Linked DNA regions of Tamandua tetradactyla. The protein of the gene in region 2 binds, or shares a complex with, the protein of the main gene of each other region. Links are inferred from orthologs where the notes say so. Each region holds a gene or a part of one and is shown on either strand. Other genes may lie near its edges.

The links. Proteins that work in one complex are often made in the same cells at the same time.
Region 1: the proteins of AURKA (region 2) and TACC3 are in contact, whole or in part, in a crystal structure (PDB 5ODT), measured with the Homo sapiens proteins. The link is inferred for Tamandua tetradactyla from reciprocal best matches to the Homo sapiens genes AURKA and TACC3. Residues at the interface, in NP_001310232.1 of Homo sapiens: Leu130, Phe133, Glu134, Ile135, Gly136, Arg137, Tyr148, Leu149, Ala150, Arg151, Ile158, Val163, Arg205, Tyr207; in NP_001428248.1 of Homo sapiens: Glu523, Ser524, Phe525, Arg526, Pro528, Val531, Leu532, Gly533.

Annotation. Positions count from the first base shown.
Region 1 is NC_135345.1:1,405,131-1,412,098, reverse strand, and holds the start of TACC3 (transforming acidic coiled-coil-containing protein 3), read right to left. Parts: upstream 3,005-6,968; 5' UTR 2,844-3,004; intron 859-2,843; 5' UTR 858-858; coding exon 696-857; intron 573-695; coding exon 430-572; intron 1-429. Other genes in the region: TMEM129 (E3 ubiquitin-protein ligase TM129), read left to right, coding at 3,573-3,777, 6,293-6,767. UniProt on the Homo sapiens protein: Plays a role in the microtubule-dependent coupling of the nucleus and the centrosome. Involved in the processes that regulate centrosome-mediated interkinetic nuclear migration (INM) of neural progenitors.
Region 2 is NC_135327.1:28,991,245-28,999,255, forward strand, and holds the start of AURKA (aurora kinase A), read left to right. Parts: upstream 1-4,975; 5' UTR 4,976-5,066; coding exon 5,067-5,163; intron 5,164-5,169; exon of another isoform or gene 5,170-5,281; intron 5,282-8,011. Other genes in the region: CSTF1 (cleavage stimulation factor subunit 1), read right to left, coding at 2,072-2,240. UniProt on the Homo sapiens protein: Mitotic serine/threonine kinase that contributes to the regulation of cell cycle progression.

The sequences.
Region 1 (6,968 bases), on a different chromosome or scaffold from region 2:
TACAAAGAAGCTTCCTCTGATTAAAATAAACTCAACCCCTCAGGACTCAACTCCAACCCCTAGCTCACTCTTACTTCGCCCAACAGATCATATAAAGCACAGCCCCGCCCCTTTTAAGAATAATGTCTCAGTGTAGACCATGCAAGAATTGAGTCACAAGCAGAGACAGGAGATGAGGAGAAACACAGCTTCCCTGGGGAGAGGCTCAGGACTGCGTAAGGAGTTGGAGAAATGAGAGCAGAGGCCCAGCACCTGGCAAAGACACATCGCAGGAGGAAAGAATGGAATCTGAACTCAATCCAAACACCTGACCGTTAACTTTCCCACAAGTAGAGGGCTTCGGAAGCCCCATACCCGGGCACCGTATAAACACCTGCAAAGGCCCGTCGATGGTGTTAGAGCCACAGCACACAACAGGCCAACACTTACTCATCTCTTTGTGTCCAGTCACGGTGAGAGTTTGCCAATCCAACAGTCTCGTCCAGAGTAAAAGGAGCTTCTAGTTTACTGGTCATACTAGGACTTAAAATCCTGTGTGTCTGTGGATCCCGCAGAGGCGTTTGAAAAGTTACCTACAGGGGAGCGAGAAGGAACACATGCCTGTTAAATGATTCTCGGCCATCAGCAGGACTCGGTGGTAGCAGCATGCCAGCCTGGGGGCACAGGCCACACTCCGTGGGGATGGACTGACTTGCCTTCATAGCTCTGGCTATGCTCTTGGGTGGCACATTTTCTTTCTGTGACAGACGAAGGACAGACGACTTTCCGGTTAGTTCCGGGGGTGAAAAGAGGAAGTCACAAATTTCGGTGGCTTTGTCACAAGTGACGTTTTCATCATTTAAGATCTGCAGACTCATTCTGGAAAAGCAGACCACGCCTCTGTCAGCACGGGGGCAACAAGACTGGTGCAGCACATCCAGACAGGGGTGTGATACAGGTTGTCCCCTTTCTGGGCCAGGCGTGGCTGCCTGCCCAACCCAGCCTCCCACAGCATGTCCTTGGTGAGCTGGGCAGGAGCGCTGGAGGGTCCCCGTCTGGTCTCAGGAGGCCTTGACTCCCACGAGACCGAGAGCCCAGAGGGCCTTCAACCGGAGAGAAGAGGAAGACTGAGCTTGTGGAATCACCTGTGATCCTGGGCTGTTTTGTTAGGTAATAAGTTAGAAGACCAAGTACTGGCCTGGGAGAATATTCACAGCTGAGGCTGCCTTAGTCTCCCCAGAGCCTGACTCAGGTGGTCAAGAAACAGGGTGCAGCCTAGGCTGTGTGGGGTGTGGGGGTTTTGTGTCTCAGCTTAGGGGACAGAGCCCAGGTGTCAAGTCAGCAGAGAAGAGAAATGCTGAACAGTGAGCCATAGTTCGTGCTCCCCTGCCCCTGGCTGGAAAGGGGGGAGGGCAGGCGAGGGTCAGCAGAGGGGCCTGAAGCCCAGGAGGCTGTCCAGAAGGATCTGGTAAATTGCTAAGGAGCCTTGCTAAGGGGCCTCAAGTCAGGTTCAGCAAGTTCCACAATGGGCCTTTGCTGCTCCCAGGCCCTGAGGGCGTTCCTAAGGTAGGTGTTGCTAGAGTTGAGTGTGGTGGTGGAGAAGAGTGGAACCAGAGAAAGGTCCGATGAGGCAGCCACCAGTCCAGAATGCAGGATGGGCTGCATTCTGAAGAACAAGAAGGCCAGGGTGGCTGAGCAGAGGGGCAAGGAGTAGCCTGGAAGCGTGGTTGGAGGAGAGTGGGGTCCACCACGTGGGACATGAGGGGGCATGGGGTCGGGCAATATCACTGCTGGGCTTCAGAAGACCCTTCTGTTACATAGCAGAGGGGCTGTGAGGGGGAAGAGGGAACACAGGCAACCAGAAGCAGTCAAGGTGTCCAGGAGACAAGGCTGGGCCTGGGCTTGGTCAGTGGGTCTACGTGGACACATGAGGGCAGGGAAAAGTCACAGATGATTCTCCGAGTCTAGCCTGGGTTAATGGGTGCGGGGGAGCTGAACTGTGGGGGTGTAGGGAGGGTGTCTGGGGAGCCACAGGGGCATCTGGAACCTGCAGTTAGAAGCTGTGCTAGTCCAGAGAAGTAGTTACTGCGGGGTCCTGTGCCAGCCAGGGACTGGGTCCGGGTGGTGGCCACCACTGGGGATAAAGCTGGAGCGAGGCGAGGCCTGTGGCTGCACCCGGGGGCCGACTGCGTGGAGGTGGGGAAGGGAGAGGTGCAAAGGAGACCCAGAGGAGCGGGGCACCGGTGAAAAGAGCGTTCCGGAGAGGAACAAGCCGGTGGGCTTGGCAGGACAAGGACCGAGACCCGGGTGGGATGCGCCAGCACGCGGTCCGCTGGAGACAAGGTGAGGAAGTGTCTCTGAGACGCGGTGGCAAAAGCCTGATTGGAGCGGGCCAGAGAGCGAGCAGGAGCTGGAGAGGCAGTGCTGGCAGCAGCGACTGGGGAAGCGCTGCCGCAGAGGGGGCCAGAGAAGCGGGCAGGAGCTGGAGGGACGAAGGCTGCTCGCGGGTGGCCGCGCGGGGCCCGCCGCGGGCGGAGAGCAGGTGGGGTCCTCGAGGGAGCAGCGGGGGACGCTCCCCAGCCCCGGCAGGTCCCTCCCACCCCTGCTTCCGCCAGCCGAGTGCGGCCGCGGGCCGGGGGGGGGCGGGTGGGGACCGGAGGGGAGGGTCCAGGTGCCGGGGGGGCCGCGCCTGGGGAGGGGCAGGGCTGTGGGAGCCGCCGCTGCCCAGTCCGCGCTCGCCCACCCCCAGGTCGCCTCAGCCAGCCTGACTCCCCCGAGGTCGCAGGCGGCGGGGCCGACCCGGCAGAGGCCCGGGGCCTGGGAGGGCGTAGACTGGGTCGAGCCGAGGGGCGGCGGCCGCCTACCTGTCCGCCGAGCTCCGGACCCGCCCCGTCGCGGCCGGGAGAAGAGAGGGGAGTACAGGGAGGAGCCGCGCCGCCGCCGGAAACCCACTCAGGCCGCTAAGTCCGCCGCGCCCGCCGATTCAAATACCGACGGTTGACTCCGCGCAGCCAGTCAGAGCGCGCCGGGGGCAGTCAGTAGCCAATGGAAGGCCGCGCCGCGCCGGCCCCGCCCCTCGCGCACGCGTTCCACTTCCGGGCGAGGGGGCGCTTCGATCCTGGGCCGGATGGGGCGGAGACTCGCATGCGCAGCGGACGGGGGCGATCTGGGAGCCGTTTGCTCGGTCTTCAGTTTTCTCAGCTGTGAAATGGGGCCAGTTGTAGCGCCTCTTCCACGGCAGGTCGCGGGGAGGGGCTGCATCCTCGCGGAGAACGTGCGGGCGGCCTGCGCCTTTGGGCCGGGCTCGGGGACTCCGCTTCCCAGAGCGCCCCGCGGCCGGGACTCGGCCTCCCAGAGCGCCCCGCGGCCGGGACTCCGCCTCCCAGAGCGCCCCGCGGCCGGGACTCCGCCTCCCAGAGTGCCCCGCGGCCGGCGGGATCGGAACTCCATTTCCCAGAGCGCCCCGCGACCGGCCAGCGGCGGCCTCGTCCAGCGCTCCGGGCCGGGGCCGGGACGCTCGCGCCTCTTCCCCGCGCCGGGGCCGGAGGTGGGACCGGCGAGCCTCTCTCGAGCGGCTTCCCGGCGGCGGCACGATGGACAGCCCCGAGGTCACCTTCACCCTGGCCTACCTGGTCTTCGCCGTGTGCTTCGTGTTCACGCCCAACGAGTTCCACTCGGCCGGGCTCACCGTGCAGAACCTGCTGTCGGGCTGGCTGGGCAGCGAGGACGCCGCCTTCGTGTCCTACCACCTGCGCCGCACGGCCGCCACGCTGCTGTGCCACTCACTGCTGCCGCTCGGTGAGGCGGGCCGGGGGCCCACGCAGACCCGGGACCCCCCGAGAGCATCCCCACCCGAGAGACACCCCCTCCATCCCCGCCCCACACAGGTCCCTGCTTGAGGTCCCCGCTTGAGGTCCCTATCTGTCTCCACCTAGAACCGCTTCCCCACCCAGATCCCTCTCCCCAGTGAGATCCTCTCAGAGACACCCAGTCCTCGCTGAAGACCCTGTTTCTATCTGATACACCCCATCTCTGCCTGAGACCCATCCTATTGAGGTTCCTGTTTCTGCCCCAGACCGCATCCCACCCCTCCAGACCCCATTCCCGTGGAGACCCCCTTTACGGCCAAGACACTTTGTGCCTACCGAAGCCCCCAGATCCCAACCCCACCGACTCCCGGGCCTGCCTGGCTGCTGTGCCACCAGTCGCTGGGAATGCCCTGAGATGGAGAGTCACTAGCAGGCTCTAGTCCCGGCCATGGTCCAACAGGCACCTCGGGCCACTACGGCCCTTCCAAGTTGAGGTGCTGCTCACCAGTGGGCCCTCTTGGTGGCAGGGTGCTTGGCCTGGGTTGGGGCTGTAACCGCACAACCCCCCAGGGTTCCAGGCACACTGCCCTGGACTGGCTGAGCAGTGTTTGGCCAATTCTGTCGATAGGCTCTGAGTCTTGGGGTCAGCCCTACTCTCCCTGCACAGGTCCTTGGTGTCCTGCTTAGGGTCAGGTCAGCCTGGCCGGTGTGGGGAGGGCGCAGGTTGGGGGCTCAGCCTGCCTGTACCAGTCCTGGGCTGTAGACCTGTACGTTGAGCACATCCTGGGGACACGTTGGGGGGCGGGTACCCAAGGCCCTAACGTGGCTTCACCAGGGTGGCTGTCTCCCTCTTGGGCGTTGGAGTTGGGAGGGCAGCGTGGGGCGGGTGCAGAGGAAGGCGTGAGGCCTGGGGACTCGGAGCCTCGGGTCCTGCGGCTCTCCTGGCTGCCGGTGAAGGCTTGCACGCATAGGGTGGGGGAGGAAGGCCTCAAGTCGTGTCGCTGCGTCCGCTCGTCTTCTTGGCCAGGGCTTGGTCCTCACTGAGGAGGAGTTGGTTGTGCGGCAATCCCGGACAGGACAGCGTTGTGCTGGGTGGAGTGCCCCAGGTCATCCCCCCACGGTGGACCCTGTGCTGGGAGAGGTGGCCGTGCCCCCTAAGAAGCCAGACTCACTGGCCTCAGTCCTTGCGGCAGGGGGAGCAAGTGGGGTCTGCCCTGCAGGGCCCTGCTCCGAGGGCCGGAGAAAGGCATCTGTCTGGCCGGGAGCAGCTGAAGAGCTGCACAGCTTGCAAGTGGCAGAAGCCCCAGCATTGCTGTGGGGAGAGGGTGCTTTGGCCCTGCCTGGGACAGACCGTGAACTGCCGCTGCTGCTGGGGGTCCCATGTGGCCGTGGGCATCTGCTGTTTGTATGTGGGGGCAGTTCCAGGTGAAGGGCTTCTGGGAACCCATAGTACTAGCTGAGTCCATCGGAAGAGTTGGGTTGGAGGGTTCCCTCGAGAAGGTGGAGTTGTTCTTGGCCTTGGAAGATGGGTACAGGGAGAGCAGGCAGAGATGGGGGTTGAGAGATTCCTGGTCCCAGACCGGAAACGCCAGCGTTGTCAGCTGAGGGGACGGGTGGTGCTTGGCAGGGACCCAAGGCAGCCTGGGCCTCCACAAGGCTGCTGCACCAGCCGGGGAAAGGATGGGCCAGAGGGCCAGGGGACTGTGCTGGGGTGCCAGGCAGGGGGCCTCCCGAGACGTGCAGGGTCCAAGGACATGAGCAGAACCAGGTCTGGTGGGAGGTCGAGGCAGGAGTGGGGGACTTGGGAGAACGAGGCTGGGCCGAGAGGGCTCCTGGGTCTGGAGGCAGCAGCAGGGGTGTGTGGGTGCCTGGTAGAAAGGAAGCCCCAGGCTTGCTGCCTCCCACCCCTTTCTGCCCCTGAGTCCCTGTGGGGTGTGTGACCTCCCCCATCCTCAGCCAGACCAGGAGAGAGACACAAAGCAGGAGGCAGCTGGGAGACCGTGCAAACTGGAGCTACACTCCCTCGGCCTGAGCCCCACCTGCCAGATCCTGGGGAGCTCACAGTGCCTGGGCCCTCAGCCTGCTTCTTTGGGGCTCAGGGGTGTGGTCCCCAGAGAGCTCTTTCCCTGGGGAGAGTCGCTGAGGCTCCCAGCAGTTTTCTGGAGCTCATCCTAGCTGGGCCCATGCCAGCCATCGTATTTGGGTGGAAGACGAAGCCAGGCCATCACATTTGTTTTTGCTTTTCTGGATTTCTCTTTTTTCTCTTGTGCTTGGATATTGTTTATGTAAAACTGAAGTAAATTAAAAGCATTTTTTTCTAACTTATCGTGCCGCTGCTGTGAGCAAAGGCTGAGCTAGGCCTGGCCACAGAGGTGAGAGGCAGAGAGGCCCACTGCCCTCAGCCTTGCCCTGGGAGCTGACCAGGGCTGGGCACAGGGACCCCGTAGGAAGGTGGGCATGGCCTGGCCAGCCCTGTACCCGCTGATGCCCGCCTCGTCCTTTAGGCTACTATGTGGGCATGTGCTTTGCTGCTTCAGAGGAGTGGCTGTACGCCCCTGGCCGGGCCCCAGAGGCCTGGAGACTCTTCCTCCTGCTGGCGCTGACCTTGCCTGCTGCGGCCTGCGCTGTGATCTGCCACTGGGCCCGCAACCGCTGGGCCCGGCACCCGCTGGCCTGCACCCTGGCGCTGTACGCTCTCCCGCACTCGGGCTGGCGGGATGTCGCTGCCTCCGTCAACACCGAATTCCGGCGCATCGACAAGTTTGCCACTGGGGCCCCGGGCGCCCGGGTTGTCGTGACGGACACCTGGGTGATGAAGGTGACTACCTACCGGGTCCATGTGGCCCAGCAGCAGGACGTGCACCTGACCGTGACCGGGTCGCGGCAGCATGAGCTCTCACCAGACTCCAACCTGCCCGTGCAGTTCCTCACAATCCGCGTGGCCAGCGCCCACCCCCACGTGAGGGCCTTCGACATCCGGTAAAGCCGCAGGGGTGGGGGCCGGGCAGGGGGATGGGGGTGGGTACGGGGCTCTGGGGCACAGGGGGCCAGGCTGGGGGTGTGTGGGGGAGGCACAGAGTCCTGGGGGCTGGGCAGGAGGGATGTGGGGGAGGCACGGGGCGCTGGGGGCCAGTCTGGGGGGATGTGGGGGAGGCACAGAGTCCTGGGGGCTGGGCAGGG
Region 2 (8,011 bases):
AGAAGGTGAGTCTGCCCCAAAGGCAGAAGATAGGTCTTCACCTCACTGCAGTGGAGCAGCTGTGCCACGTCAGGTCTTAGAGAGGGTGTAGTACATCTCCTGGAGATTTGGGACAGCCAGGGTGCCATCATATGGAGGGGTTGAGTGTGTGCCCCAGAGATGGCAGAGAGCCTAGGTGCAGCCCCAACGCATGGAGAGGGTGGAGCCGAGAAAAAGGTGATATCCCCAGTGGAGAGAGGTGGGCCACTGTGAAGGTCTTTGGAGAGGGTGGACCGACACTTTCTAAAGCCCCGAACATAAATATACTCTCAGACTTTGAAAATCTAATAGCGTTTGCCATGCAGGTTTTAAAAACTGCTTGGGTCCAGCGACCCCTATGTTCCTTCCAATTCCTCCCTATGGAAATGGGCTTATGTATCCTATGACTGTCCCTCTTTTGTAAATTGACAGCAAATAACTTGTTCTGAGTTTTATAGGTCCACAGCCAGCAGAGAAAATTTTGCCTTAAGACTGTTCATGTCTGTAGCTGATTTTGATGAGACTTTGTACTGGTTTTAACCTTGTACTGTATGTGTAATGTTACTGAAATGGTTTAAGGTTCTCTGATATTGTTATGGAATGAATCTATTTTATATATGGGGAAAACATGTCTTTTTTAGCATTCAGAGGGTAGAATGCGCTGGTTTGAAAAGATTTATGTACCCTAGAAAAGCCATGTTTTAATTCTAATCAATCTTGTGGGAGGCAACTGTTTCTTCTAATCCATATTCAGCACTACAGATCGGAAACCTGATTAGATTATCTCCACGGAGACGTGACTCAATCAATTGTGGGTTTTAAAGCATGATTAGATGGAGATGTATCCCCACCCATTCTATGAGGGTCTTGATTAGTTTGCTGAAATCCTTTAAAAGAGGAAACATTTTGTAGAGAGAGTCCCTTTTGAGAATGAGGAGAGAACCACAGAAAGGTACAGCAGAGCCAAGCAGAGCCACGAGGCTGAGAGTCCATGCTGCAAGAGACATTTGGAGATGAAGAAGGAAAATGCCCAGGGGGAGCTCCATGAAACAAACCAGGAGAGAAAGCTGAGAGACTTCACCTTTCTGCTAAGAGAGAAACCCTGAACTTCATTGGTCTTTCTTGAGTGAAGGTAACCTCTTATTGGTGCCTTAGTTTGGACATTTTTATAGACTTGCTTTAATTGGGACATTTCCTTGGTCTTAGAACTGTAAACTACCAACTTATTAAGTTTCCTTTTTTAAAAGCAAAAAAGCAAAACAAAAAAACCCAACAACAACACAATTTCTTAATTTCTTGACAATGCTATAGCATAAATCTAACTGATCTCCCAACCTCCATGTTCAGACGTTCACAGCTCATCCTCCAAATCAGACCCCAAATACTTTTTAATATAAACCGAAAATATCCTCAAAAAATAAAAGCTCCTTTTTGTCATAATCATATTCTCATACAAAGACATAGTTCTGTAGGGTTTAAAACACTGATAGTTCATACCATGGATACTCCTCTGCAGTTATCCACAGTTCTGCACAGTGACTGCAAATATATCACTCCTGGACTTACATGTCCCAAGGTTGGTAAACATGGAGACATGCCATCCTTATTTCCCTTCAAGAAGGGACTGCTGCTCACCTGTGGGGAATGGGGTAAGCTAGCAGGGAGGAACAGGGATTGCATGGAAAACAATGCAAACAAACAAACAAACAAAAATTCTGTTTTGAAGAAAATAGACGTGATGTTTATGGTAGAGAAACTGGGGAGGTATGGGGAAGAGAAAGAGATTACTTTAGGAGTGTTGGGTACTCAGAGATGACATATGAGTTGAGACTTGAAAGAAGTCAATAATAAAAGACAAAGTGCTCCAGATAATGACAATGTGTATAAGCTGAGGCTGGAACCAGCTTCAAGTGCTCATAATGTGCACTTTGTTTCCAACTTTAGTATCCAGCATTGTACTTGGCACTAAACTAAACTAATTCTGAAAAACTGTGATGCTTGGAAAAGTTTAAATCTGTACCACCAGAGCTATACATTTATATTCACATGGTACCTAGTTTGATGAGATGCAGGAGTTGCTCGGAGGGCGCGCACACAGACTGAGGCTTGATTTCATTGATGAGGCCATTAGCAATGCTGATGTAGCCGTCATAGAGCAGCTGGCTAATGATCAGCTTGTAGAGTTGCTGGCGGTCCTTCAGGCCCACCTTGGTTCTATACATCTTGGAGAAGAGGAAGATAATTCTTCCTGTCAGCTGCAAGAAGAGATAAGAGGTAGATGGTGAAGGGGAGAGGCACTAGTAAATCACAGACACAGTAAATCAGACTTGTGGAGCTAAAATCCTAGCTCTACTATCTGCATTACCTTTGGTTAGTGTCCTCATTTCTCCAAACTTCAGCTATTAAATAAGTTACTGAAGGTTAAACGAGAAGGTACACAGAGAACATTGCACACAGTACCTGGTACACAGAAGGTATTCAAGTCATGTTAGCTGAAATTTACAGCAGACTCTCTCTTCATCAACTTATTCTTCCCCTTTTCTTTTCGGCCAAAGTTACCCACCTAAAAATTTATTCTTTATGGCTATCCCAGAATCTTTTATTTCTTCTGTTAATAAAAACACTGACTGTTGTTGTCAACAGGTAAGACAGCTGCTATTCCCTTGAAATATCTAGGAACTACTATTTCTACCAGCTTAGCCACATGCTTAAATTCATTCCTAAAATCTGTTTCATGACAACTGGGCTTATTGCAATTATATAATTTAAACCAGAGTATCAGGGCAAAAAGCTATTATTTCCATGAAAATGAAAGCAAACTGAATGCTTTGAAATGACTCAAGTGAACTGCTTAATATACTATTGGCATATAAGATACAGACAAAACAACTAAAAAATGGAAAAATTGTAAAAATCTGGAAGGACTGCACACCCTGATTGATTCACAAGTGTCTAAGTTCTCCTTCAAGCTAAAAAGAAAAACAAACAATAGAGTTAACAGTGGTACCTACTGGTATTCCTGTACATTAACAGGAGTGACTGGGGAGAAGGGAGAAGGTAGGGGTATCAAGCACGTTTTCTAACTACATAGTCCCCTCTGGAGAACCACTGAAATTACTGATCCTAGTAACAGCCAGCATTTACAACATCTTTACCATGTTTTTCAAGTTTTACTTTATTTAATCCTCAAACCATCCTATAATGGAGGTCCTGTAATCTTGTTTACAGATGAAGGGGGAATATAATTTTGCCAAAGATCTCACTAATAGTGTCTGGAGGAACCAGGACTAGGATGTAGGTGGTTTGACTCTAGAGTCTGTGTTGCTTCTAACTACTAGGTTGTAGTGTGCCCTAAAAACTTAATAATAAAGGCTAATAGTCACTAGACATTTAACACAGTATATAAAACACACTGTGGAAGCAACTTATGTGCATTAACTCATTCACACCTCATCCAGTATTATTTTAGAAATAAGCAAACTGAGGCCCAGAGTGGTTAATTAATTCACTCAGGATTAAATAGCTGTGAATGTCAGAGACTAGATTCCAACCCAGGCAATGTGGTCCCTGAGCCTGAGTTCTTACGCACCATATTACACTGACGAGTGTTTATGTAACATTTATGGAGCACTTCCTACGTGCCAGACACTGTGCTAAGCACTTTACAGTGAAGCTCATTGGACGGAATCAATAAATGCATGCAAATCTACGCATGTAGGAGCAAATGCTCTTAAGTCTATCTGCCGAGAACAGTGGGACACAATAGAGATGATGAAACGGGCTCAGAGAAATTAGGAAACCTACTCAAGGTAAAGTGTGCCTGGGTAACTCATCTGAGGTTACGTGGTCGTCAGGACGGTCCACTCCAAAGTCCAGAACTTAACCACCACTCCAACCTGTCTCTTCACTTCTGTCTGGGGCATCGTGAGATGTACAGGGACAATGAGAAAGTAAAAGAGAGGGCGAGACTCCGCTTCTCAACTCCTTTAGAATGTTCACTCGCCAGGCTGTAGGAGCCTCTTAATCACCACCCCTAATTTGCAGGGGAGAACACTGAGGCCCGAGGACAGGAATAACCCTACTCAGGACCGGTTACACAGGAAAGGGAGATCAGGACGCCCCTTCTGCACACGGCGCAACCATCCCAACGCAGAAGTTTATAAGGATGGGGTGGCGTGGGGCTGGGAGGTAGGCCCTCCAAAGGGGTGCGCAGGCCCAGCCCGGCAGCCCAGGAGCACTGACTCAGGGCGCACGCCTCCCCGCTCACTCTCGACCATTCCCACCTCGACCCAGTCCTTCCCGTGGGCCTCTGCAGACCCCAGCGGACAGAACCCGCTCCTGCCGGCGCATCCCGGGCTCCCTTACCCGCTGATCCGGCTCTCGCGGTCTCCCGCTCTCTCCCAGAAAAATGGAGGCGCGAATCTTGCCCGATCGATCGCTCGAAGCGCAAGTTCACTGCGCACGCGCAAAGGGCATAAAGCCGAGTACCGCGCTATCCATCGCTCCCACCCCCTCTCCGGCCCTCCTCGCCATCTGACTTACTGGCACGTTCAAGAGGTTCGGTTACCTGCTCCGACTTTATCTCCTGTACGACAGCCCCGATGCTAGAGGCTGCTCTCTTACGGGCAAATTTCCGATCCGGAGAGCACCACTGGCGATAGAACGTTCACGGGTTTGGTGGGTCGTTGGGGCCCCCTCTTCCGGGGCCCTTCGAGGCAAGTGCGCCTGCGCTTCGTCTCTACCTTCTCCTATGACTCAAGACAGCGAGTTCGTTGTTGACCAATCAAAAGGCAGCCTTCCTTCTAGCCTAGGCCAATCAGCGTCCGGAGTAGAGGGTTTAACTTGCATTTAAAAAGAAGAACCTTTGACTCTTAACGGCTGAGCTCTCTGTAGGACTCGGCTCCGTGGGTTCGAGACGGTGTCCGACGTGTGCGTGGACCAGTGGGGTCAGGTTTATGTGGCGGGTGTGAGGCCTGGGTGAGGGGCGGCTGATCCGGGCGGCCTACGAGCGGGTAGTGGGATCTGGCTGGAGCAGAGCCGAGCGGGCGATGGGGCTGCGGGGCGGGAGAGAAAGAATCAGCGCGAGAGGTCCTCCCTCCCTGCCGACTACGTGCCTCTGCGGCCTCATCTGTGCTCCATCTACTCGTGGGTTCCGAGGGGCTCTGTGAAGGTTGCTTATGGTTAACGCTAGAGGCAGATGGGGTTGTTGGGTGGCATTGGGGAAGGCTTTCTGCATGGATTCTCATATTCAGTGGGCACCTAGGTAAGGAAACCTCAGAGAAACTTCCGCTGTCTAGGAGTTTACTTTGGAGGAACGGGGAGAGAGACAGCAAACTAAACATGATTTCCAATTGTGACGAGTATTATGCAGGATGTAAAACAGTAGTATGGTTTAAAGGGGGCTACGTTAGATAGAATAGTCCGGGAAGGCGCTTTCCTGGCTGGATAAATGAATGGATGGATGAATGAATGAATGAATGAATGAATGGATGAATGAATGATAACCTCTACGCAGAGGCCTTCCGGAGCCCGTGCTTATCAAATCCTGGCCCTTGGACTCACCCATATCAGGATTACTTGGGGGTCCTTGTTAAAAACACAGACCCACGGCAGGTGGAATGAATCAGACTATTTTGGCGATAAAACCCAGGTGTCTACGTTTAACAAGGTCTCCAAGTGGTTCTGATATTTACTTCCAACACCTACCAGCCATCTGGGGATGTTGCTAAATGCAGAGTTTGTTAGGTCTGCGTTGAACCTGAGATCCTCAATTTCTAACAAACGTTCAGTCTTGACTTTTAATCATGTCTCCTCCTCAGGGTTCCTTGTTCCTTGAACTAAATGTTTTCAGAAGACACTCAGTTCCTCTCCACTCAGCCTCTTGGCAGATATTTGCAGGTTTCCTGTGGTGGGGGGAGGAGGGACAACTTTTTTATCCTAAACTCACAGGGCTATTAAATCTAACAGTTTTTCTGTTTAGAATTGCAGGATCTCTGTTTAATGGATTTTGAAAAGGCCATTTAGTTATGCAGTTTCCAAATCGCTGTAGATCAGAATCGCCTCAGGGGCTTTTTCCTGGGGACCCTCCCTGGATTTTCCGAATCAAAATCTTATTCCATTCTGTTTATTGTTCATCTTCCTGAGACAGAAACTATAAATAAATTCAATATGAAAAGAAAAAATTGGGATAAACATTGATAGCTTTGGTCAGAAGACTGTTGAATAAATATTATGAGGCTTATGTGCTCTCACAGTATTCTGCTACTAGGAATTGTTGGGAAAGTGAAAGTAATAGAGCAAGTTTAGAAAATAATGGTGCATAAAGTAGGCATGTATTTCCTCTTCTGTTTTTAGTTTATTTTTATCAACCAACTAAGGACTCTAGGTTCTTTAGTCCTGGCTCTGTCTTATGGAGTTATTTGCTTATTTTTGAAATGGATGTAGAAGCATTGAGGGTGGGGAAATCCTTTCTGATTAGATTTTAGTAGTCACAGAGCACCTGGGTAAGAAGAATACTGGTAGATTTCTGCTGTCTTGGTGTTTGTTTTACCTACTTGATAGTGTGGTGCCTGACTCATAGTATGGGCTTACAAAGTGTTTTAATAAACTATTTTTATTATTGATTTGCTTTAATTTATTCCCAGAACATTCATTGCCTACACTATGTGCTGTTCTAGGTTTCTTGGGCACAGTGGTGAGTAAAATGTGACTAAGCAAGCCCTCGCTCTTGTGGAATTTACTTTCTAGTGAGGGACACAGACAGTATATAAATATGCATATACTTTGTGTATGATGCTAAGGGCTATGAAGAAAAATAAGATAGAGATGGTTCTGGAAGGGGACATTTGAACAGAGAATAGCATGAAATGAAGGCGCAAGTGATGCATTTGGGGTAAGATCCTGATGGAGGAAAGAGCAAGTACAAAGGCCCTGTGGCAGGGGACCTTTTTGAGAAAAGATATACTGTGTGTCTGGTGTGCAGTGGACAGGAAGGAGGAGTGTGAGACTAGGTCAGAGAGATGGTCAAGGTTCACATTTTGTGGGACTTCATTGGTCTGTCCTTACCAGTTGGAACCTGTATTTCATTGAGTTGGGAAGCCATGAAAGTTTTGTGAATGAAGGATTGACATCTGACTTAACAGGATCACTGGCTGCAGTGTTGAGAATGGGTAATAGTGGGGCAGAATGAGAGGAGGAAAATCATTGGGAGCCAGTTGCAAATAGTCCAGGGAGGGAGGACTGTGGTCTTACCAGGTGGTGGTGGTAGAGGTCATATTCTGAGGGGATATCTGAGAACAAGAATGGGGAGGTGGAGATGGGAAGGATCGTGAGTTCACCTTGGGACATGTTAACATCGACCCCTTAGATAATCAGATGGAGATGCGAAAGTGGTAGGATATTTATATCTGGACTGGAGATGGAAATTTGGGAATTTTCCACCTATGGATATTATGCACAGCCAATAGACCAGATGAGCTCTCCTGGAGAGTGAGTATAGGAAAAGAGAAATGGTTTGGGAAAGAGACCAGCACACTCCCATGAGTAGAGAGTGGATAAAGAAGTTTGGAGGAGAGAAGAGGTTCCATTTTTGATGTATTAAGATTTTGATGCCTTTCATACCTTTCTGTGGGGTCCAGAGCAGGTGGTTGGATCTTTTGAGTCTGGTGGTCAGAGGAGAGATTAGGCCAGAAGAGGTTAATTCGAGGTATCCTGATAAAGATGTTCAGAGCAATGGCATTGGGTGAGGGTCCCTAGGAAATGGTTGTAGATGGAGAAGTGGGGGTGGGGATCCAAAGACTCATTCCTATATTATCTCAGGCATTTTCAGAGTGGAAAAGAGGGTGAGAGTGGACAGCTAGTGAGGTAGGAGACAAATCTGGAAGGTAAGTGAAGAAAGATGTTCAGGAAGAAATGATCAACCTTATCAAATGCTGCCTAGAACGCAACATAAAATGAGGGTGGAGAATTGACTGTTTGGCTTGGTAACAATAGG